Saccharomyces cerevisiae S288C: one gene and its partners. Changing the gene in region 1 together with any one later gene gives a genetic interaction. Each region holds a gene or a part of one and is shown in the gene's direction. Other genes may lie near its edges.

Region 1 (8,290 bases):
ATGCTAAGTAATTGGGCACTCTCCCCTCGATATGTGGGACAGCGAAACCTCATACATTGCACCACTTTATTTCACACACTTACACGATGGGCAAAAGACGCAGACGATAAATATCATGATATAAACTCAATGTATGAAAACATGTTTACACCTTCAAATGATAACGTTTCAATTTTGCAGGATGAAGGTAAATCTGATTATGATACGACGAAGGCCAGCTCTATGGAAGAAGATATCAGTGCTTTTAATAAAGACTTGTACAATTTCTATAATATTGGATATGCCAAACAGATCATGTCTGCTTCACAATTGGAAAATATAGTAAAGGCAAAGGGCAGATTTGTTATACAAAGTTTATCCACCAGTCCTTATTATAATTTGGCCCTTGAAAACTATGTTTTCAAGAATACACCAAGAGCCAAAAGAGGTCCCGATAATTGCAGACTGTTATTTTACATCAATGATAGGTGCGCCGTTATAGGCAAAAACCAAAATCTGTGGCAGGAAGTAGATCTTGCTAAGCTGAAGAGTAAGAATTTCGAACTACTTAGAAGATTTTCTGGAGGTGGCACTGTACTGCATGATTTGGGCAATGTTAATTATTCATATTTAACATCAAGGGAGAAATTCGAAACAAAGTTTTTCAACAAAATGATAATTAAGTGGTTAAATTCATTGAATCCCGAACTAAGACTAGATTTGAATGAGAGAGGAGATATTATTCAGGACGGGTTTAAAATTAGTGGCAGTGCTTATAAAATTGCCGGTGGCAAAGCATACCATCATGCAACGATGTTGCTTAATGCGGATTTAGAACAGTTTAGCGGCTTATTAGAACCCTCACTACCGAACAATATGGAATGGGAGTCAAGTGGAGTTCATAGTGTAAAATCAAAAATCAAAAATGTTGGTATAATTACTCCTAATCAGTTCATTGCAGTGGTATCCGAGCGTTTTCAGAAAACATTCAAAGTTGACGGCGAAATACCTATATATTACTGTGACGAGTTTAAATCTATAAACGATGAGATTAAAGATGCTATGAACACCTTACAGAGCGAACAATGGAAATATTTCTCGGGGCCTAAATTTTCAGTGAAGATTAAAGATAAAGGCTTAACAATTAAAGTCGAAAAGGGCATGATTTATGATTGTGATAGAAATGATTTAATCGGCTTGGAATTCAAAGGATTTTTGGAGAATATTGACAGTTACACATAACGTTGATGAATATTTCAATTCACTTGTAAATAACGTAGGTAAATATCAAAATTAAAGTCTTTCACCGGAAACTGATTCAGCATATTTCAGCAGACGCGTCCTAGATTCACAGCAAACTTCAATATAAGCGATACATTAGGAGTGTTCGTACTTTAGATCTATAAGAACTATATTTTGTTACGATTCAGCCGTCTCTAAATGTGAACTAAATATTTATACTGTTATTTGAGAAACCGACAGATAGTACTTAATTTTATCGATCATCTAAGAATAGCATCGGTATTGTGGTGACATTTATTGAATTTCTTCCGCTCCAGAATAAAGTTCCTTTTCACTTCAAAAAACTGCCACCAGTAAAGTTGCACCAGTGGTTTTTGAGCATTTTTTGTCAATGTCGCTTAACCGTTCTTGAACTGTATCCTCTTGACGTCGATAAAATCATTTGTAAAAACCAGGCCAAATCATCATTGAATAATTTACACTGTGTCTTCAATGTCGCCATTTGGACCAATAATTATCAAACTGTTCACAATTCACTCAAAGTCCTTTCAGCAACATTCTTATGAAACAATACTTTCTTTGAATTTGTATGATGAAACAAAATTTTTTGGTTATTAATCATTTATCACTCTCGGTAGCCAAGTTGGTTTAAGGCGCAAGACTGTAATTTACCACTACGAAATCTTGAGATCGGGCGTTCGACTCGCCCCCGGGAGATTTTTTTAATGTGCTCTAAATAGAATGTGGATGAAATTTCTCTTGGCCGCCGTACCCTTCTTCATAATTAATAATTTCTTTCCATTTTGCAGGATTATATCTGATCAATAAGTGATTGTAAAGATTTTGTTTGTGAGAAATATGTGAATTTTTAATTTTGGTTATAACTTAATAATTGTTGGAATTCCATTTTTGATAAAGATGAAAATTGGTGAATTTTGAGATAATTGTTGGGATTCCATTGTTGATAAAGGCTATAATATTAGGTATACAGAATATACTAGAAGTTCTCCTCGAGGATCTAGGAATCCTCATAATGGAACCTATATTTCTATATACTAATATTCCGTTTTATTCCTTATTCCGTTTTATATGTTTCATTATCCTATTACATTATCAATCCTTGCACTTCAGCTTCCTCTAACTTCGATGACAGCTTCTCATAACTTATGCCATCATCTTAGCACCATATATGATAATATATTGGTAGTATGACTACTAGTTGATAGACTGAAGAGAATGTGGATTTTGATGTAATTGTTGGGATTCCATTTTTAATAAGGCAATAATATTAGGTATGTAGATATACTAGAAGTTCTCCTCGAGGATTTAGGAATCCATAAAAGGGAATCTGCAATTCTATACAATTCTATAAATATTATTATCATCATTTTATATGTTAATATTCATTGATCCTATTACATTATCAATCCTTGCGTTTCAGCTTCCACTAATTTAGATGACTATTTCTCATCATTTGCGTCATCTTCTAACACCGTATATGATAATATACTAGCAACGTAAATACTAGTTAGTAGATGATAGTTGATTTTTATTCCAACATAGACGATAGTTGATTTTTATTCCAACAGTGTTGACATATAAATACTAGTCAACTAAATGGTAATTGGTTATTATTCCTCAACATTCTGCTACCAAACGCAAATGTAGTAGGAGAGTTTAGATTTTCAACGTTGGTTTGCGAGATTGGTGAAATCAAAGCATAGTTTACCTTTAATCCCAATCTTCCAACAAACAGTAGCTCGCGTGGCGTAATGGCAACGCGTCTGACTTCTAATCAGAAGATTATGGGTTCGACCCCCATCGTGAGTGCTTTGTTTCTTCCGTGATAGTTTAATGGTCAGAATGGGCGCTTGTCGCGTGCCAGATCGGGGTTCAATTCCCCGTCGCGGAGATTTTTTTTGAAGCTGTTGTAGTTACTACTTTAAGATCCAGATTGATACAGTACGTATGTGAGGCAACAGATACTTGCAATATAACAAGTTTTGTGAAGAGATAGTGTGAATACCTATGGTTCCACGCAAGAAATCATCTATTTGAATTTTCGGCTTCTATAAGAATGACAAAACTCATAGGAAGCTGCAATGCATTAATTTTCCGTAAGCTTTATTAACCCGTTAGCCGCTCAAGTCGCTTTTCTCAGGTCGCGCTCCTCTTCTCCGGACTTATGTGGCTCCCTTTAGAATATAAGGGTCTTCCCTTTAACGGAACAGTAAGGTTCCACAAGGTGGCAAAAAAGGCAATCCAACCGACACTTCGGCAAATTTCTTTCACTCTAGTCAGAGCTAAGTTCTTATATATACTTTCTAAATAATTATCTGCTAAAATAAGAAAAGAAGGAGCCTAAATACGTATATCTATATACATGTATACACGTGAGCTAATAAATTATGTTATCTTTGAAAAAAGGAATAACAAAATCATACATCTTGCAAAGAACTTTCACTTCTTCCTCTGTTGTTCGTCAAATTGGGGAAGTGAAATCTGAATCGAAACCGCCGGCCAAATATCATATTATCGACCATGAATATGATTGTGTGGTGGTAGGCGCTGGCGGTGCAGGTTTAAGAGCAGCTTTCGGTTTGGCTGAAGCTGGATACAAGACTGCTTGTTTATCCAAGTTGTTTCCAACAAGGTCACATACTGTGGCTGCTCAGGGTGGAATTAATGCTGCGCTGGGAAATATGCATCCAGATGATTGGAAATCGCACATGTACGACACTGTCAAGGGTTCTGACTGGCTCGGAGACCAAGATGCAATCCATTACATGACAAGAGAAGCACCTAAGTCTGTCATTGAACTAGAACATTACGGTATGCCCTTTTCGAGGACTGAAGATGGAAGGATTTACCAGAGAGCATTTGGGGGACAATCCAAAGATTTTGGTAAAGGTGGACAGGCCTATAGGACTTGTGCGGTGGCAGATAGAACAGGTCACGCAATGCTTCATACATTGTATGGACAAGCGCTGAAAAATAATACACACTTCTTTATTGAATACTTTGCAATGGATTTGTTGACCCATAATGGCGAGGTTGTGGGTGTCATTGCCTATAATCAGGAGGACGGTACAATTCACAGATTCAGAGCACATAAGACCGTCATCGCGACAGGCGGATACGGTAGAGCTTACTTCTCTTGCACTTCTGCTCACACTTGTACAGGTGACGGTAATGCTATGGTTTCTCGCGCTGGATTTCCACTAGAGGATTTAGAATTTGTTCAATTTCATCCGTCAGGAATTTATGGGTCTGGCTGCCTAATCACTGAAGGTGCCCGTGGTGAGGGTGGATTTTTATTGAATTCTGAAGGAGAAAGGTTTATGGAACGCTATGCTCCTACTGCCAAGGACTTGGCAAGCAGGGATGTTGTTTCCAGAGCAATCACCATGGAAATCAGGGCTGGCAGAGGTGTCGGGAAAAACAAGGATCATATCCTTTTACAATTAAGCCATCTACCACCTGAGGTACTAAAGGAAAGGCTACCGGGAATATCTGAAACAGCTGCTGTCTTTGCGGGTGTCGATGTCACCCAGGAGCCAATTCCTGTCTTGCCAACTGTCCATTATAATATGGGAGGCATTCCCACAAAATGGACTGGTGAAGCATTGACCATTGACGAGGAAACTGGAGAGGATAAGGTCATCCCAGGATTGATGGCGTGTGGTGAAGCTGCTTGCGTATCGGTTCATGGAGCGAACAGATTAGGCGCTAACTCACTACTGGATTTAGTCGTTTTCGGTCGCGCCGTTGCAAATACCATTGCTGACACATTACAGCCTGGCTTGCCTCATAAGCCATTGGCTTCAAACATCGGGCACGAGTCAATTGCTAATTTGGATAAAGTAAGAAATGCTCGCGGCTCACTGAAAACCTCTCAAATCAGGTTGAACATGCAAAGGACAATGCAAAAAGATGTTTCTGTTTTCAGGACGCAAGACACTCTAGATGAAGGTGTTAGAAATATTACTGAAGTGGACAAGACATTTGAGGATGTGCACGTTTCTGATAAGTCAATGATCTGGAATTCTGATCTCGTAGAAACTCTGGAATTGCAAAATTTACTTACTTGTGCCACACAAACGGCTGTTTCTGCTTCCAAAAGAAAGGAGTCTCGTGGTGCTCATGCGAGAGAGGACTATGCAAAAAGAGATGATGTGAATTGGAGAAAGCACACATTATCATGGCAAAAGGGGACATCAACACCTGTAAAAATCAAGTACAGGAATGTAATCGCACATACTTTAGATGAGAATGAATGCGCCCCAGTCCCTCCAGCTGTCAGATCCTATTAATTCTTATTTATTTATTTATTTATTTTGGAGGGCAAACTTATTTATTGATCTGGCAAAAATGATCTTTCCCTTTTTTCTTATTTTTCTCTCTATCTCTCTCATTGATTCTTGGTCAATAGTACTCGTTTACTGTCAACTTACACCTTATCTATTATGCTATATAATTTTATGCAAGACATTGAAGTACAATATACGTCGAGCTGCAATATGCAAAAATATCAGAGGGAAACCAGCTCATTAGGAAATATGACATGTGGGCTATCTGTTTGTTGGTGGTAGCTGGGTTTTTTTTTTTTTTTTTTTGATTTTGTCGTGCGGGTGTGCAGGCTGGGATTTCAAACAAATAACAACGAGTAATTGACAAGAAAAACTTATTGGCTTATTTTCTTTTTGTTCTTCAAAATTGTTTGCCTTACCCTCTCCCTCAGTTTGTTTTCGAGTGATTGTCTATTAGGATCAATAGTCAACTTTGCTGTTTCCATACTTAAAACATCACTAGTCTTTATGCCGAACTTCGCATTTATAAAAGTGTCGCAAATCAATCTCATATCGTCGTAATTTTTTCCATACCACAATTCACATAAATTTCCAGTGACCTTACACAGGTCTAAAAACTTTTCATCATCTTTACTGGCATCTTCCTTTTCAAAAATTTTCTTGAAATGCAAAATCAATTCAACAAATTCATCGTTATTATTCGTATGTTCATAGTCACCTTGGCTCACTAGTTCGTGAAGCTCATCGTAAATGGATAACAAAAGGGTGATGATAGTGCATGCAATGAAAATATCCAAGGGATAATTGAACGTCAGGACGTGGTCCCAAACGATTAGCACATATTTTAAGGGTAATTCTCTTAAAAATAACAACCTTGTCCATCGGATGAGCCAGATTAGGTTGGAGTGAATCAGATGGTCTACGTTTTTTTTCTTCCCGCTGCCCGTTTTTGGTGGTTGGTAAAAAACCTTTGAAAACAAGTCTGGCAAACAAATCCTAAAGATTTTCGTGAATACTCTCTTATCCCAGTTAATCAAATTTTCTTCGTTATAAAAAATCGGTTCGATTTGGTTCATTAGCTTGTTAAAGATAATCAGAACGTTTTGCAAATCGGTATTATCGAGATCTGTACCGTGATATAATTGCAGATAAATGACGCTTAATATTTCGTGGAACCCTTGTTTATACTGTAGGTGTTCGCTTTGATGTATAAGCAGGTAATTGTACAAAAGTTGTCTCATTTGAGCATGAACCTTGGGTTCCTGAAATATATCGTCAAGCATTATCCTTGAGAGGTCCAAATCTATAATTTCCAGAGTTTCCCTCAGTGTCAACGGCTTTTCATCACTTCCCTTGGACAAAGAACCTTTAGTTTTGTCATTGTCATCAGACAAGGGATGTTTTTCAACAGCCTCGACGGGAGTCAGCCTCCTGATTCCCACTGAGGAGGAAACGTTCGAGTGCAAGACCCTTTTAGGTACATTTGCATTATGATTTTCGTCATAGTTGTCGCCATCTGCCAGCATAGGCACTGGCACCAAGCCGAACTGGTTAAGGTCCAAACCTTTAAAGTTATCAGTTAACAAGCAGTTGTTGTTTTCATCACACAGAAGCAAAGCTTTCCAGAGCCAGCCTCTACTATTTTCTTTAAAGATAGAGTCATGGTAGAGTTCACCTTTCCAAATTCCCTTCTGCACCAGTTGGTCTCTTGTCTCGTAGTGGTCAATCGCCCATTGTAAGACATCCTTCATGGTTGCATAAGCGAAAAAATACAAACGCACGACAGCTAACCCTCTCTATGTATGCCAATTCTCTTGACAACTCTCCCCCATTGTTCTGAAAAAGGTAATGAAATTAAACGCTGCTGTACCGATTATGGAAAACTCAATGGAAAAATTGAAAAAAAAAAAAAAAGGAACTAGTAATGCCGTAGGAGAAGCGGGTAACATAATATCCGGTTTTCCTTTACGACCGCTTACAGGCCTAAACCAGCGCACCATCCAGTTACAATAACACTTGGAGCATGCGTACACGTGTGCGTATTCTACGGCTGGCATGGGCAAAATAAGACGTGGAATTTTTCTGTGGTCAGAACTTTGCGTCAGTAAATAATTCAAGAAAAAATAATAATTATGTCGAAAAAAAAATAGAAAAAAAAGAAAAAAAGAATACTAAAAGGTGAGTGTTCAGGAAAACCGCAAGCCATGTTTGTTGATTATTCCGGACTGGAGCGTTACACGGATATAAATGCATCTTTTGGTAAGTTGGTCAACACTTACTGCTGTTTTCAGCGCTGTGAAGCCATCAGCGAACAATTGGAGATTCTGAAAAGTCTAGTACCAAAGTGCCACGACATTGTGGCACTTACTGACGAAGACTTTGCTAGTGGCCGTACTGCCGGACTGACGCAGAAATTGTTTGCTATGGCGATGACCCTACACCAGATCACCGACTGTATCGACCTCCTGCAGAAATGCAACACCATAATACCCATCGAGATCGCCAACCCGGCTAGCTTTGAAAGCGGCGCCGCGACGGCGCCGCTACGTCAAAGCTATGCTAGGCTCTTGGATGACTGGTCCCACTACATGGGCCCATCAACGGTAAAACACACAGGCTGTACCAACCGACCCAAGTGGAGATTTCCCTGGCAACAGTCACGGACTATCATCATCCCCATGCTGTTTATTGGCGAAACTGCAATGAGCACCAGGGACCTAAGGTCTGTGCTGCATGATTGTGAGATCAGGCACGCGAGC
Region 2 (5,944 bases), on another chromosome or scaffold:
CAAATCAAGACTGGTGCTCCAGCTAGATCCGAAAGATTGGCTAAGTTGAACCAATTGTTGAGAATCGAAGAAGAATTGGGTGACAAGGCTGTCTACGCCGGTGAAAACTTCCACCACGGTGACAAGTTGTAAAGTGCTTTTAACTAAGAATTATTAGTCTTTTCTGCTTATTTTTTCATCATAGTTTAGAACACTTTATATTAACGAATAGTTTATGAATCTATTTAGGTTTAAAAATTGATACAGTTTTATAAGTTACTTTTTCAAAGACTCGTGCTGTCTATTGCATAATGCACTGGAAGGGGAAAAAAAAGGTGCACACGCGTGGCTTTTTCTTGAATTTGCAGTTTGAAAAATAACTACATGGATGATAAGAAAACATGGAGTACAGTCACTTTGAGAACCTTCAATCAGCTGGTAACGTCTTCGTTAATTGGATACTCAAAAAAGATGGATAGCATGAATCACAAGATGGAAGGAAATGCGGGCCACGACCACAGTGATATGCATATGGGAGATGGAGATGATACCTGTTCGATGAATATGCTATTTTCGTGGTCATACAAGAATACGTGTGTCGTCTTTGAATGGTGGCATATCAAGACCCTGCCTGGACTGATTTTAAGTTGTTTAGCAATTTTTGGTCTAGCCTACCTCTATGAGTACTTAAAGTACTGTGTCCATAAGAGACAATTATCCCAGAGAGTATTGTTACCAAATAGATCTCTGACCAAGATCAACCAAGCCGACAAAGTGTCCAATAGTATTCTATATGGTTTGCAAGTGGGATTCTCATTCATGCTCATGCTTGTATTCATGACTTATAATGGTTGGTTAATGTTAGCTGTCGTGTGTGGGGCAATATGGGGTAATTACAGCTGGTGTACTTCGTATAGTCCTGAGATAGATGACAGCTCCCTCGCCTGCCATTAAGATGGTGACAAATATTACAAATTTGATACTATTTGTATCTATTTTGTTTTTATCCGGGATTTTTCGTATTTCTTCCTCATTCATACCCTTCCCTTTATTTGTTCCCACTGAGTATAATGATAAACTACGTTAACATTACATGTATAATATTTAGCACTCGTACGTTACTAGTCTTTGACACAAGTTTATATATCCCCCCCTTTATGTTATCGTTTATTGGCTACAGCCTCAGTAATCAAAATAGTCCACTATTTCTATATCATTAACTTCTGCGTCGCCAAGATGTTAATCATGAAACGATCTAGTTCTTCAACAGTTTGCCAGCGACCATTCGAGCTAATCTTGAACAAAAGTAATACTATTTAAGGGTGGGCGCGGGTTGTTATACCGTTTTGAGACGATCTACTATAACGTTATATTTAATTATATAAGTGATGAATTTAATGTCCCGTCCACAACACGAAATCGCACCTCATTTCAACGCGGCAAGTATTAATGTTCTGCTTTATGAAAGATTCCATGAACCCTTTTCTACCTTTTAAATTCCTCTTTTCACTCTTAATCACATGATATTACCTTTACATAGGAAGCGCCAGACATCTTTTTGCCGAGAAAAGCCATTATGCAAGATAATCCTGTAGCCTCATATCAAGGATAAATGCCACTGCAAAAACGCAGTCGTTATTTGGGACTGTATTTAAATGGGCCACTGTTTTTATACAAGTCGAAAATACAATAATACAGAAAATTCAAGCAGGAAGCGAGAAATAACAAGAAGTAACTAGGCATGACAGTGAATGACAAAAAAAGATTGGCAATCATAGGTGGGGGGCCAGGAGGGTTGGCAGCTGCAAGAGTTTTCTCGCAAAGTCTTCCAAATTTTGAAATAGAAATATTTGTAAAGGATTACGATATTGGCGGTGTCTGGCATTATCCAGAACAAAAAAGTGATGGGAGGGTCATGTATGACCATTTGGAAACCAATATATCAAAGAAGTTAATGCAGTTTAGCGGCTTTCCCTTCGAGGAAAACGTCCCTTTATATCCGTCTCGAAGAAACATTTGGGAATACTTGAAAGCCTATTACAAAACGTTCATTGCCAACAAAGATGCTATCAGCATCCATTTCAGCACCGAAGTTACCTACTTAAAGAAGAAGAACTCTCAATGGGAGATAACATCTAAAGACGAACTAAGGACTACTAAATCGGATTTTGACTTCGTTATTGTTGCGTCTGGTCACTACAGTGTCCCTAAACTACCAACTAATATCGCAGGTCTCGATCTATGGTTCGACAATAAGGGCGCCTTTCATTCTAAGGATTTCAAAAACTGCGAGTTTGCCCGTGAAAAAGTCGTTATTGTGGTGGGAAACGGCAGTTCCGGCCAAGATATTGCCAACCAACTAACTACCGTTGCAAAGAAAGTATATAATAGTATAAAAGAGCCTGCGAGCAATCAACTGAAGGCCAAGTTAATCGAGACTGTCCAAACAATAGACAGTGCCGATTGGAAAAATCGTTCAGTTACTTTATCTGATGGAAGAGTACTTCAGAATATAGACTACATTATTTTCGCCACAGGCTATTATTACAGCTTTCCATTTATAGAGCCCTCCGTTAGACTGGAAGTGCTAGGTGAGGGTGTTACTGGCGACAAGCACTCGTCTGTCAATCTGCACAATTTGTGGGAGCACATGATCTATGTAAAAGATCCTACGCTGTCCTTTATCTTGACCCCGCAGTTGGTCATCCCGTTCCCGTTGTCGGAACTACAGGCGGCTATTATGGTCGAAGTATTCTGTAAAAGCTTACCGATAACTACAACTTTCGACTCTAATGCCTGCGGAACGCACAACTTCCCAAAGGGAAAGGACCTGGAATACTATGCAGAACTACAGGAACTACTGAATAGCATTCCACGTAGGGTCGGTCATTTCGAACCAGTTGTATGGGATGATAGACTGATCGATCTAAGAAACAGTAGTTATACAGACAAAGAAGAAAGAAATGTGCTTCTAGCGGAACACGCACAAGCCCTAAAGAAAAAAAAAGCACCATACTTCCTTCCGGCGCCACATACTTAACGTAAAAAGGAATGTACTTGTATAGAAAAAACACATATTGTGCCGCTTAATATTTCGTTTCCCTCATGTATATACCTTATCGCTGTTAAAATAAGAAATCTTCACTTCTGCTATCTTTTTTTTTCAAACATTGATTAATAATCCGGCCGTCCGCAGATTGCTTACGCAGAATATACCGTACCGCCACCGTAAAATTAACGAATACTTAAATTTCCGCCTCTTCCGTTTCGGCAATAGCGAACCTTAATGTAAGTTTTTAAAAGGCAGCGCCAAAAATTGCTCTGAAAGGCCTGCAGTGCTTCGCGGCTACGCAGTTCCCATGTAAAAAAAAAAGAAAACTTTCTTTTTGAATCTGGAAAATCCGCACAGGCGCGCCAGCATAAACCTCAGTATCCTGCAAAGGCCATCCTTTTAAAGATCTTAACAACGTATGAATCTGAGGCAGAGAGAAATTAAGCGATAAACGTTCCTTTTAGACTTTCACTTTCTTGGCCGTCATTTAAAAAAAAATTATCTAATAATCTCTAATTTTAAGTTGAAATCACGCTAACATATGACTATGACTATTAACCTTTTTATGTGGAAAAAAAAGGAAGAATATGTTGTAAACGTATTTTAGCCTTGTTCCCGGAACTTTAATCACTCTGGCAACTTTTTAAGTAGTCTGTCTTTTTCTCGGTCGTATATTCCTCAAAATTCAAGAGGAAAGAGGAAGTGAAGAAGAAAGCCTAGAAAAAAAAAATAGGCATTAACACAAAAACGCACCTAAGGGACTGAGGAAAATCAAAAAAATGATAATTGCAGTTAGTAAATCTTCATAATCGACGCCCACTTATTCTTTCTTTATAGTACCGGGTAGGCGGGTAATTCATACGTAGCTGCTGCGGGAGAACTACTATGTATCATTCCCTGTTTATTTGTATGAATTATTATTTAATACGTACATTCTTGTAAGCCCTTCTTCAACAAAACAAACAAATAAAGCGAGAAAAAAGGGAACCACGAATTAAGATAATTAATCAAACAATAGATAGGAAAAGGAGATCGACGAGTAAGCGTAAGAATGATGGATATCAGCCCTACCTGTTATGGGTACATCGACGACGAGCAAGATCTAGCCCTTGTTTTCCAGGGCGTATTCAATGGAAATTTGAGATGCATCGAACGGAGGCCATATGATGCAGAAAAGGTTGAATTAGTCAACCCCGGAAACATTTTTGTTTTCAACGAAGAGAAATCCGGCATCAAAAGATGGACAGATGGTTTTTCTTGGTCTCCTTCAAGAATTTCAGGCAAATTTCTCGTATATAGAGAGTATAATAGGCTGGGTTCCACGCACGATCTACCGCTGCATAATGTACCTGAGTATAATATCTTCGAGAGGGCTCATAGGAAGTATTTTTATACTGGACTACTGAAAAAAACATTTTCTCTAAAATTCAATATGGATCCCACCGACAGCACTAAGCTGGAAACATTTCATCTTATTGCGTACTATACGGAAAAGGATATTCATCAAGGAAGTTTGAGGAGACCTTCAGAAAATCCTTTCTTCCATAAATTTCGACCTTCACAGAAACTATTAGATGCTTTACAAAAAGTTGCTGTAGGAAATGGCAGATCTAACCCGTCTAAAAATAATGAGAGAGGCAGAACCAAAGCTCATAATTATAAAACGCGCAGGTCTTTATCATCTTCTCCGAGCTATTGTGATCTCTTGAGCAATTATAACAACCATCCTGGAAATATTCCAGTTAGGACCGCAGTTCAGTTACCTTTAACCACCTTCAATAACGCTCCTCGAGAAATGCACCAACAGCAGCACCGACAACAGCAACAATATCTCTTACCCATAGATGAACAGAATAAATTACCTCTCCCGTATATGCAGCACCAGCCACAACCAATTGGTGTTTACAATCCTAACTATCAGCCTGGATTGAGACGTACGGTCTCACAACCTATGATTTTCTGCAATACATACAATACTCTCCCGCAACAACCTACTGCAGCACCTTATGAACGGCGTGGCGTGTCGCCTTCAGTGATATACTCCTCCAATACATTGAGCCCAATACCATACCAAAATATCGATCCATACTCTTCGAGGTCGGGTCCTGAATGCAATCACTCTAAGGCGCCTATCGCCCCAACAATGATGCCCCCAGTACACCATATACTTGTGCATGATTACCGACAACCAAAACCAGTCACAGATTCTATTAATCCTCCAAATGTAAACATAACCACCTCCACAACCAACAAGAACCTAGATGGCATTTATATTTTGCCAGCTCCTCGTATGAATCCCCCGGCTCAAACACAATACCAAATGATTCATGCGCCAGACAGCATGCAACATCCACCAACATTTAGTAAAAACAACACATCAAGCAATCCTAAATCCCACCAATACTCAAAGTAGAAGATCAGCATCCTTTCAATTGCTGAAAGGTTCACCTAAAGTACCGCTCATATTCCAAAAGGATTCTTCACTACATAGAAAGGGCAGCCAATTGTGTGTTTTTCAGAAAGGGTTTTAAAAAAACAGGAGGGTGCTTGTTCTTGTTGTTCCCTACCATCGATGGATTTCGAAAAACTATTTATAGGACCATCTGATTTTCACCTCCATCATTGTATCATATACTAACAAGCATATCCAAATTTGTAATTCTATCATGAAATTTCCAGAGAAAGAAACGCAAGGGAACTGAGAAATCAAACCTAAAAACGGTTCTTGGCATTGTTATGAAAAATGAATAAACCAGGGGGGCAAAACAATCGAGAACCCCAATCAAAACCATGTGAGATACCCACTTCGAAAGTTACTGATATTATAACTCTTGTGTCCTCTCTTCTAATACCTTACTTTCACCTTTCTCACGTAGTTAAAGTTGCAACAACACATTTTGTCCTCATCCAATT
Region 3 (6,422 bases), on another chromosome or scaffold:
GAAGACTCGAATAAGCTTTCTTCGCTCATGGTAGAAACTTGATTTTTTCTAATTTTCTGCGCTGTTTCGGGAACGGAAAAAAATTAAGCTAGAAGACGAATCGGTTATTATACTATTATATTTGTATAGTATAGTAGCGTGTCGTATCGTATCGTGTCGTATCGTATCGTATCGTTAAAAGAAAATACACGAATAAATAATAATATGTGGAGAAGAAAAAGGGAAGTTTCTTGTCTCTTGCTCTGAATCTGAATTCCAATTCAAGTTCAAATTGTTCTCTAGTTTATTGTCCAAAAATAAGGATGAAGCGGGAGGGAAGGGCAGAGGGAAAAGTTCGTATAGTAGAATGAATAAACTTTTATAAACACATGCACCGATCACTCACAGAGGATAAAAAAATGGCACAACAAATATATATATATAGATGCAAATGGCGATTGCAAATTAGGGAATTGGCTTTGTTGTTTTTTATCTTCAGGTAAACTGTACGAAAGGGATAAAAAGAGTAGAATAAGGAAAGGAAAATTGAAGAGAGCAGAACAATTGTAGAACCGATAACAATTGTGACAGTGATTGTGCTAGGCTATACTGTGCCAGAATACGACTGGGAGTGCTGTTCTTCTTATATATCTTGGCGCTGATTGAGCGTATAGCCTAGTTCACCAAGCAGTAGAGAGAGTGGCAATGAGCGGTTGAATTTCGACTGCGACTTGTTGGCACAACGCGCGCGCGGCCGGGCCATGTGAAGATTTTAACGGGCGCAACGATTCGGTGGGCAGTGGAAATTGTTGGGCGTTGTTCAACAAGATGAAGCATTCCCCTTTGGATAACGTCAACGCATATCGGGCCAACCTACAGGCAATGAGCGAAAGCGACTGAAGCCGAGAGATGTGCCCGGAGTTTGTTGTTCTTGTTCTTGTTCTTGTTCTTGTTCTTCTTGACGGATGATACTAGTCGCAGTCGTGGTGACTCTGGAGGGCGTAACGGCCGTGATGCGGCCTGAGCTCACTGTGACGTCGATGCATGCGCGGGTTCGTTGCGTTCAGGCCTGACGGGCGATTCCCCACCAAGTATAAGTGTCATGATATACGCGGCACCTGAGCAGCACATTAGGTCCCAATTCAACCCAACATATATAATGGTTCTGTATGGGTATTTTAAGTGTGCAAACAAAATGTGAGTTACCCGGCTGTTTGCTAGTCGCTGCGTACGAACTGGCTTGCTAAAGCTGGGTAAAAATAATTTAATCGCAAAAGGAAGAAAAGGAAATCGACGATTCATTGAAAAAAAGAGAAAATACTGAAAAAAAAAAGACACCGACAAAAAAAAGAGAGAAAGGAACCTTTACGTAGAGCAAAAGGGAAACATTTGTTGCGTTTAATTAATAGAAATAATAGGTTATTGCATTCGCCCTCCATTGCAGAAAAAAAAAAAAAAAAGACCATTTTCCTCTTCTACTCTCTTTGCCTGTACATACTACACGTTATAGCGTTAACAAAAGCAGATAGAAAAAAAAAAAATAACCAAGATAATATAGGTATACTTGTTTAACAGATCACACACAATCATGTCGTGGCTTTTTGGAGATAAGACACCTACCGATGATGCGAATGCTGCCGTGGGCGGCCAAGATACAACCAAGCCTAAGGAACTATCGTTGAAGCAGAGTTTAGGTTTCGAGCCAAACATCAATAACATAATATCAGGTCCTGGTGGAATGCATGTCGACACCGCTAGGCTGCATCCTTTGGCTGGTCTAGACAAGGGTGTGGAGTATTTAGATCTGGAAGAAGAACAACTATCCTCGTTAGAAGGCTCACAGGGTCTGATCCCTTCCCGTGGGTGGACCGATGACCTATGTTACGGTACCGGTGCCGTCTACCTGCTGGGACTTGGTATCGGAGGGTTTTCTGGTATGATGCAGGGTCTGCAGAATATTCCGCCCAATAGTCCCGGAAAATTGCAATTGAACACCGTCCTGAATCACATTACTAAGAGAGGTCCCTTCTTAGGTAATAATGCGGGGATTCTCGCGTTGAGCTACAATATCATCAATTCTACAATAGATGCACTAAGAGGCAAACATGACACCGCGGGCTCCATTGGCGCTGGGGCCCTCACGGGCGCTTTGTTCAAGTCTTCAAAAGGTTTGAAACCCATGGGTTATTCCTCGGCAATGGTGGCCGCTGCGTGCGCCGTCTGGTGTAGTGTCAAGAAAAGACTACTTGAAAAATGAGCAACACAAGAACCTACTCTCTCTCTCTCTTTCTCTCTCTCTCTCCCTCTTCGCTTTTCCCCCATGCACTGATGGCGCTTGTATATAGCATTTGAAAAATAATAGTACGTAACGCAGAAAACAAACCAATGAAAGTAGAAACCCGGAGAAAAGATCTAAAAAAACAAAAAAAAAAGATGGAAAGAGCGCATGTATGTGTAGATATGTACATATATACAACTACTTGTATGTTATTTGCCTTTTGTACTGTTAAGCTATTGTTTTCGATGGCCAATTAAAGTAAAACAAACCGCTCACTCTCGGGTATTTCCCGAAACTGTCAGAGCCGTCCCGGCCCACCGATTCGCCCGGCAAGACCTGCTTGGAAGCAGCACAAAGCCCTGCGGCCTCTGTACACCTCACGCTAAATAGCTGCTAACGATCAACACCTGACCGAGATAACAGCAGCAAAGAACCCGCAAAAAACTGCGCCGTCTAGGCCTCAACCCTTGCTTCCTACAACCAAACAATGGTAAAATATACAAAAAAAAGAAAAGAATGCTCTTTCTTATTTCCCTTTTAACCTAACCATCTTTTGTTTTTTGTCGTTTAACCTGGAAAGAATGTTCTATTATATAAACACTCTTTACTACGTCTTTAGCTTGAAAAAACTCTTGACAAGTGCACCGATACTCACCAACATCGCACAATGAAGATTTTAACCCAAGACGAAATTGAAGCTCATCGCTCACATACGCTAAAAGGTGGTATTGAAGGTGCCCTTGCCGGATTTGCAATCTCTGCTATAATTTTCAAAGTCCTACCAAGAAGGTACCCAAAATTCAAGCCTTCGACTCTAACATGGTCCATAAAAACCGCCCTTTGGATCACCCCTCCCACGGTCTTGACTGCTATATGTGCGGAGGAGGCCTCGAACAATTTCGACGCTACAATGTACGGATCCGGTTCCTCCTCGGAAGACGCACTAGATGAGCACAGAAGATGGAAGAGTTTGAGTACAAAGGACAAGTTTGTCGAAGGTCTATCTAATAACAAGTATAAGATCATCACCGGTGCCTGGGCCGCTTCGCTGTATGGGTCGTGGGTAATCGTGAACAAAGACCCCATCATGACCAAAGCTCAGAAGATCGTGCAGGCAAGAATGTACGCTCAATTCATTACCGTCGGGCTGCTGCTGGCCTCCGTTGGTTTGAGCATGTACGAGAATAAGTTACATCCTAACAAACAAAAGGTCAACGAAATGCGCCGCTGGGAAAACGCACTGAGGGTCGCCGAAGAGGAAGAGAGACTCGAGAAAGAGGGAAGAAGGACCGGCTACGTTTCTAACGAAGAAAGAATAAACTCCAAGATCTTCAAGTCGTAAACCTCGTCGGTTTATCTGCCTCAACTTTATTTCCGCTCCTCGTCTTTTATAAAATTCCTTTCATCAATACATCTATATATTCGAATATATAGATAAACCAATACAAAAACATACTGAAATTTTTTGAAAACAACTAAAACTATTCATTGCAGTTACACGTGAATGCTAAACTTTATATCGCTCTTGTCGGTCCCGCGGAGTTAACATTTAACGGCTTCTCGCGCAATAACCGGAAAAATTCCAACAGTTTCTTTGTAATATTATTAAGCCTTCTTTTTTCCCGGAATCTATAAGAGGGGACGAAAATTAGCCGCTATTAATTCTGGTATTGCCACCTAGACAAGAAGTAAACAGACACATTACGTTAGCAAAAGCAACAATAACAAACACAACCATGGACAAGAAGAAGGATCTACTGGAGAACGAACAATTTCTCCGCATCCAAAAGCTCAACGCTGCCGATGCGGGCAAAAGACAATCTATAACAGTGGACGACGAGGGCGAACTATATGGGTTAGACACCTCCGGCAACTCACCAGCCAATGAACACACAGCTACCACAATTACACAGAATCACAGCGTGGTGGCCTCAAACGGAGACGTCGCATTCATCCCAGGAACTGCTACCGAAGGCAATACAGAGATTGTAACTGAAGAAGTGATTGAGACCGATGATAACATGTTCAAGACCCATGTGAAGACTTTAAGCTCCAAAGAGAAGGCACGGTATAGGCAAGGGTCCTCTAACTTTATATCGTATTTCGATGATATGTCATTTGAACACAGGCCCAGTATATTAGATGGGTCAGTTAACGAGCCCTTCAAGACCAAATTCGTGGGACCTACTTTAGAAAAGGAGATCAGAAGAAGGGAGAAAGAGCTAATGGCCATGCGCAAAAATTTACACCACCGCAAGTCCTCCCCAGATGCTGTCGACTCAGTAGGGAAAAATGATGGCGCCGCCCCAACTACTGTTCCAACTGCCGCCACCTCAGAAACGGTGGTCACCGTTGAAACCACCATAATTTCATCCAATTTCTCCGGGTTGTACGTGGCGTTTTGGATGGCTATTGCATTTGGTGCTGTCAAGGCTTTAATAGACTATTATTACCAGCATAATGGTAGCTTCAAGGATTCGGAGATCTTGAAATTTATGACTACGAATTTGTTCACTGTGGCATCCGTAGATCTTTTGATGTATTTGAGCACTTATTTTGTCGTTGGAATACAATACTTATGCAAGTGGGGGGTCTTGAAATGGGGCACTACCGGCTGGATCTTCACCTCAATTTACGAGTTTTTGTTTGTTATCTTCTACATGTATTTAACAGAAAACATCCTAAAACTACACTGGCTGTCCAAGATCTTCCTTTTTTTGCATTCTTTAGTTTTATTGATGAAAATGCATTCTTTCGCCTTCTACAATGGCTATCTATGGGGTATAAAGGAAGAACTACAATTTTCCAAAAGCGCTCTTGCCAAATACAAGGATTCTATAAATGATCCAAAAGTTATTGGTGCTCTTGAGAAAAGCTGTGAGTTTTGTAGTTTTGAATTGAGCTCTCAGTCTTTAAGCGACCAAACTCAAAAATTCCCCAACAATATCAGTGCAAAAAGCTTTTTTTGGTTCACCATGTTTCCAACCCTAATTTACCAAATTGAATATCCAAGAACTAAGGAAATCAGATGGAGCTACGTATTAGAAAAGATCTGCGCCATCTTCGGTACCATTTTCTTAATGATGATAGATGCTCAAATCTTGATGTATCCTGTAGCAATGAGAGCATTGGCTGTGCGCAATTCTGAATGGACTGGTATATTGGATAGATTATTGAAATGGGTTGGATTGCTCGTTGATATCGTCCCAGGGTTTATCGTGATGTACATCTTGGACTTCTATTTGATTTGGGATGCCATTTTGAACTGTGTGGCTGAATTGACAAGATTTGGCGACAGATATTTCTACGGTGACTGGTGGAATTGTGTTAGTTGGGCAGACTTCAGTAGAATTTGGAACATCCCAGTGCATAAGTTTTTGTTAAGACATGTTTACCATAGTTCAATGAGTTCATTCAAATTGAACAAGAGTCAAGCAACTTTGATGACCTTTTTCTTAAGTTCCGTCGTTCATGAATTAGCAATGTACGTTATCTTCAAGAAATTGAGGTTTTACTTGTTCTTCTTCCAAATGCTGCAAATGCCATTAGTAGCTTTAACAAATACTAAATTCATGAGGAACAGAACCATAATCGGAAATGTTATTTTCTGGCTCGGTATCTGCATGGGACCAAGTGTCATGTGTACGTTGTACTTGACATTCTAAGGCATCCTGCAACTGTTCTGTGGAGCTATTAAATCTTTATAGTAAATTTTTTTTTACTTTTTTTTTTTTTTTTTTTTTTTTTTATTATTTACAAGCGTCTATATATTTTCTATTATAGAATATTGTCATTTATTACATTGGTTCATCTGTAAATCTCATCAAACGGTCTCGTATCGGCGAAGCAACTGTCCCAAACTTCATCTACAATTTTTGCTGCATGTTCTTTGCTTTGGCAGTTGGGGTTCCCCGAAACACTAATTATTGCCCTCCTTCTAACACAATCTTGGTGTCCCCTTGCCACATGGAATCCTGTCCTAAACCCTCTTCTCTTGAACTCTTCCCAAAACCTGCATTCCCCACTTAACGAAGAGGCTCTGATTTCAGAACATGCATGATGCTTCAGATTTAACCAATCTATTTGCCATTTTAGATCATCGAAATAATGAATTAATTCATGCGAAAGCGTATCCTCTAAATGCCACTTATCACGTAACCTGTTC

The links. A genetic interaction does not mean that the proteins touch.
Region 2: mutations in SDH9 (region 1) and ROF1 together harm fitness more than expected from each alone (negative genetic interaction), as found in Saccharomyces cerevisiae (one large-scale study listed by BioGRID).
Region 3: mutations in SDH9 (region 1) and ARE2 together harm fitness more than expected from each alone (negative genetic interaction), as found in Saccharomyces cerevisiae (2 studies listed by BioGRID).

The regions. Positions count from the first base shown.
Region 1 is NC_001142.9:352,395-360,684, forward strand, and holds SDH9 (succinate dehydrogenase SDH9), read left to right. Parts: upstream 1-3,629; coding exon 3,630-5,534; downstream 5,535-8,290. Other genes in the region: AIM22 (putative lipoate--protein ligase), read left to right, coding at 1-1,221; GTPase-activating protein GYP6, read right to left, coding at 5,906-7,282; YJL043W (uncharacterized protein), read left to right, coding at 7,736-8,290. UniProt on the Saccharomyces cerevisiae protein: Probable minor catalytic subunit of succinate dehydrogenase (SDH) that is involved in complex II of the mitochondrial electron transport chain and is responsible for transferring electrons from succinate to ubiquinone (coenzyme Q).
Region 2 is NC_001140.6:452,509-458,452, forward strand, and holds ROF1 (Rof1p), read left to right. Parts: upstream 1-4,082; coding exon 4,083-5,444; downstream 5,445-5,944. Other genes in the region: phosphopyruvate hydratase ENO2, read left to right, coding at 1-132; CTR2 (low-affinity Cu transporter), read left to right, coding at 364-933; YHR175W-A (uncharacterized protein), read left to right, coding at 1,050-1,199; FMO1 (N,N-dimethylaniline monooxygenase), read left to right, coding at 1,721-3,019.
Region 3 is NC_001146.8:661,346-667,767, forward strand, and holds ARE2 (sterol acyltransferase), read left to right. Parts: upstream 1-3,993; coding exon 3,994-5,922; downstream 5,923-6,422. Other genes in the region: acetyl-CoA carboxylase ACC1, read right to left, coding at 1-29; protein transporter TIM23, read left to right, coding at 1,568-2,236; RCF2 (Rcf2p), read left to right, coding at 2,925-3,599; ATP23 (putative metalloprotease), read right to left, coding at 6,065-6,422. UniProt on the Saccharomyces cerevisiae protein: Sterol O-acyltransferase that catalyzes the formation of stery esters.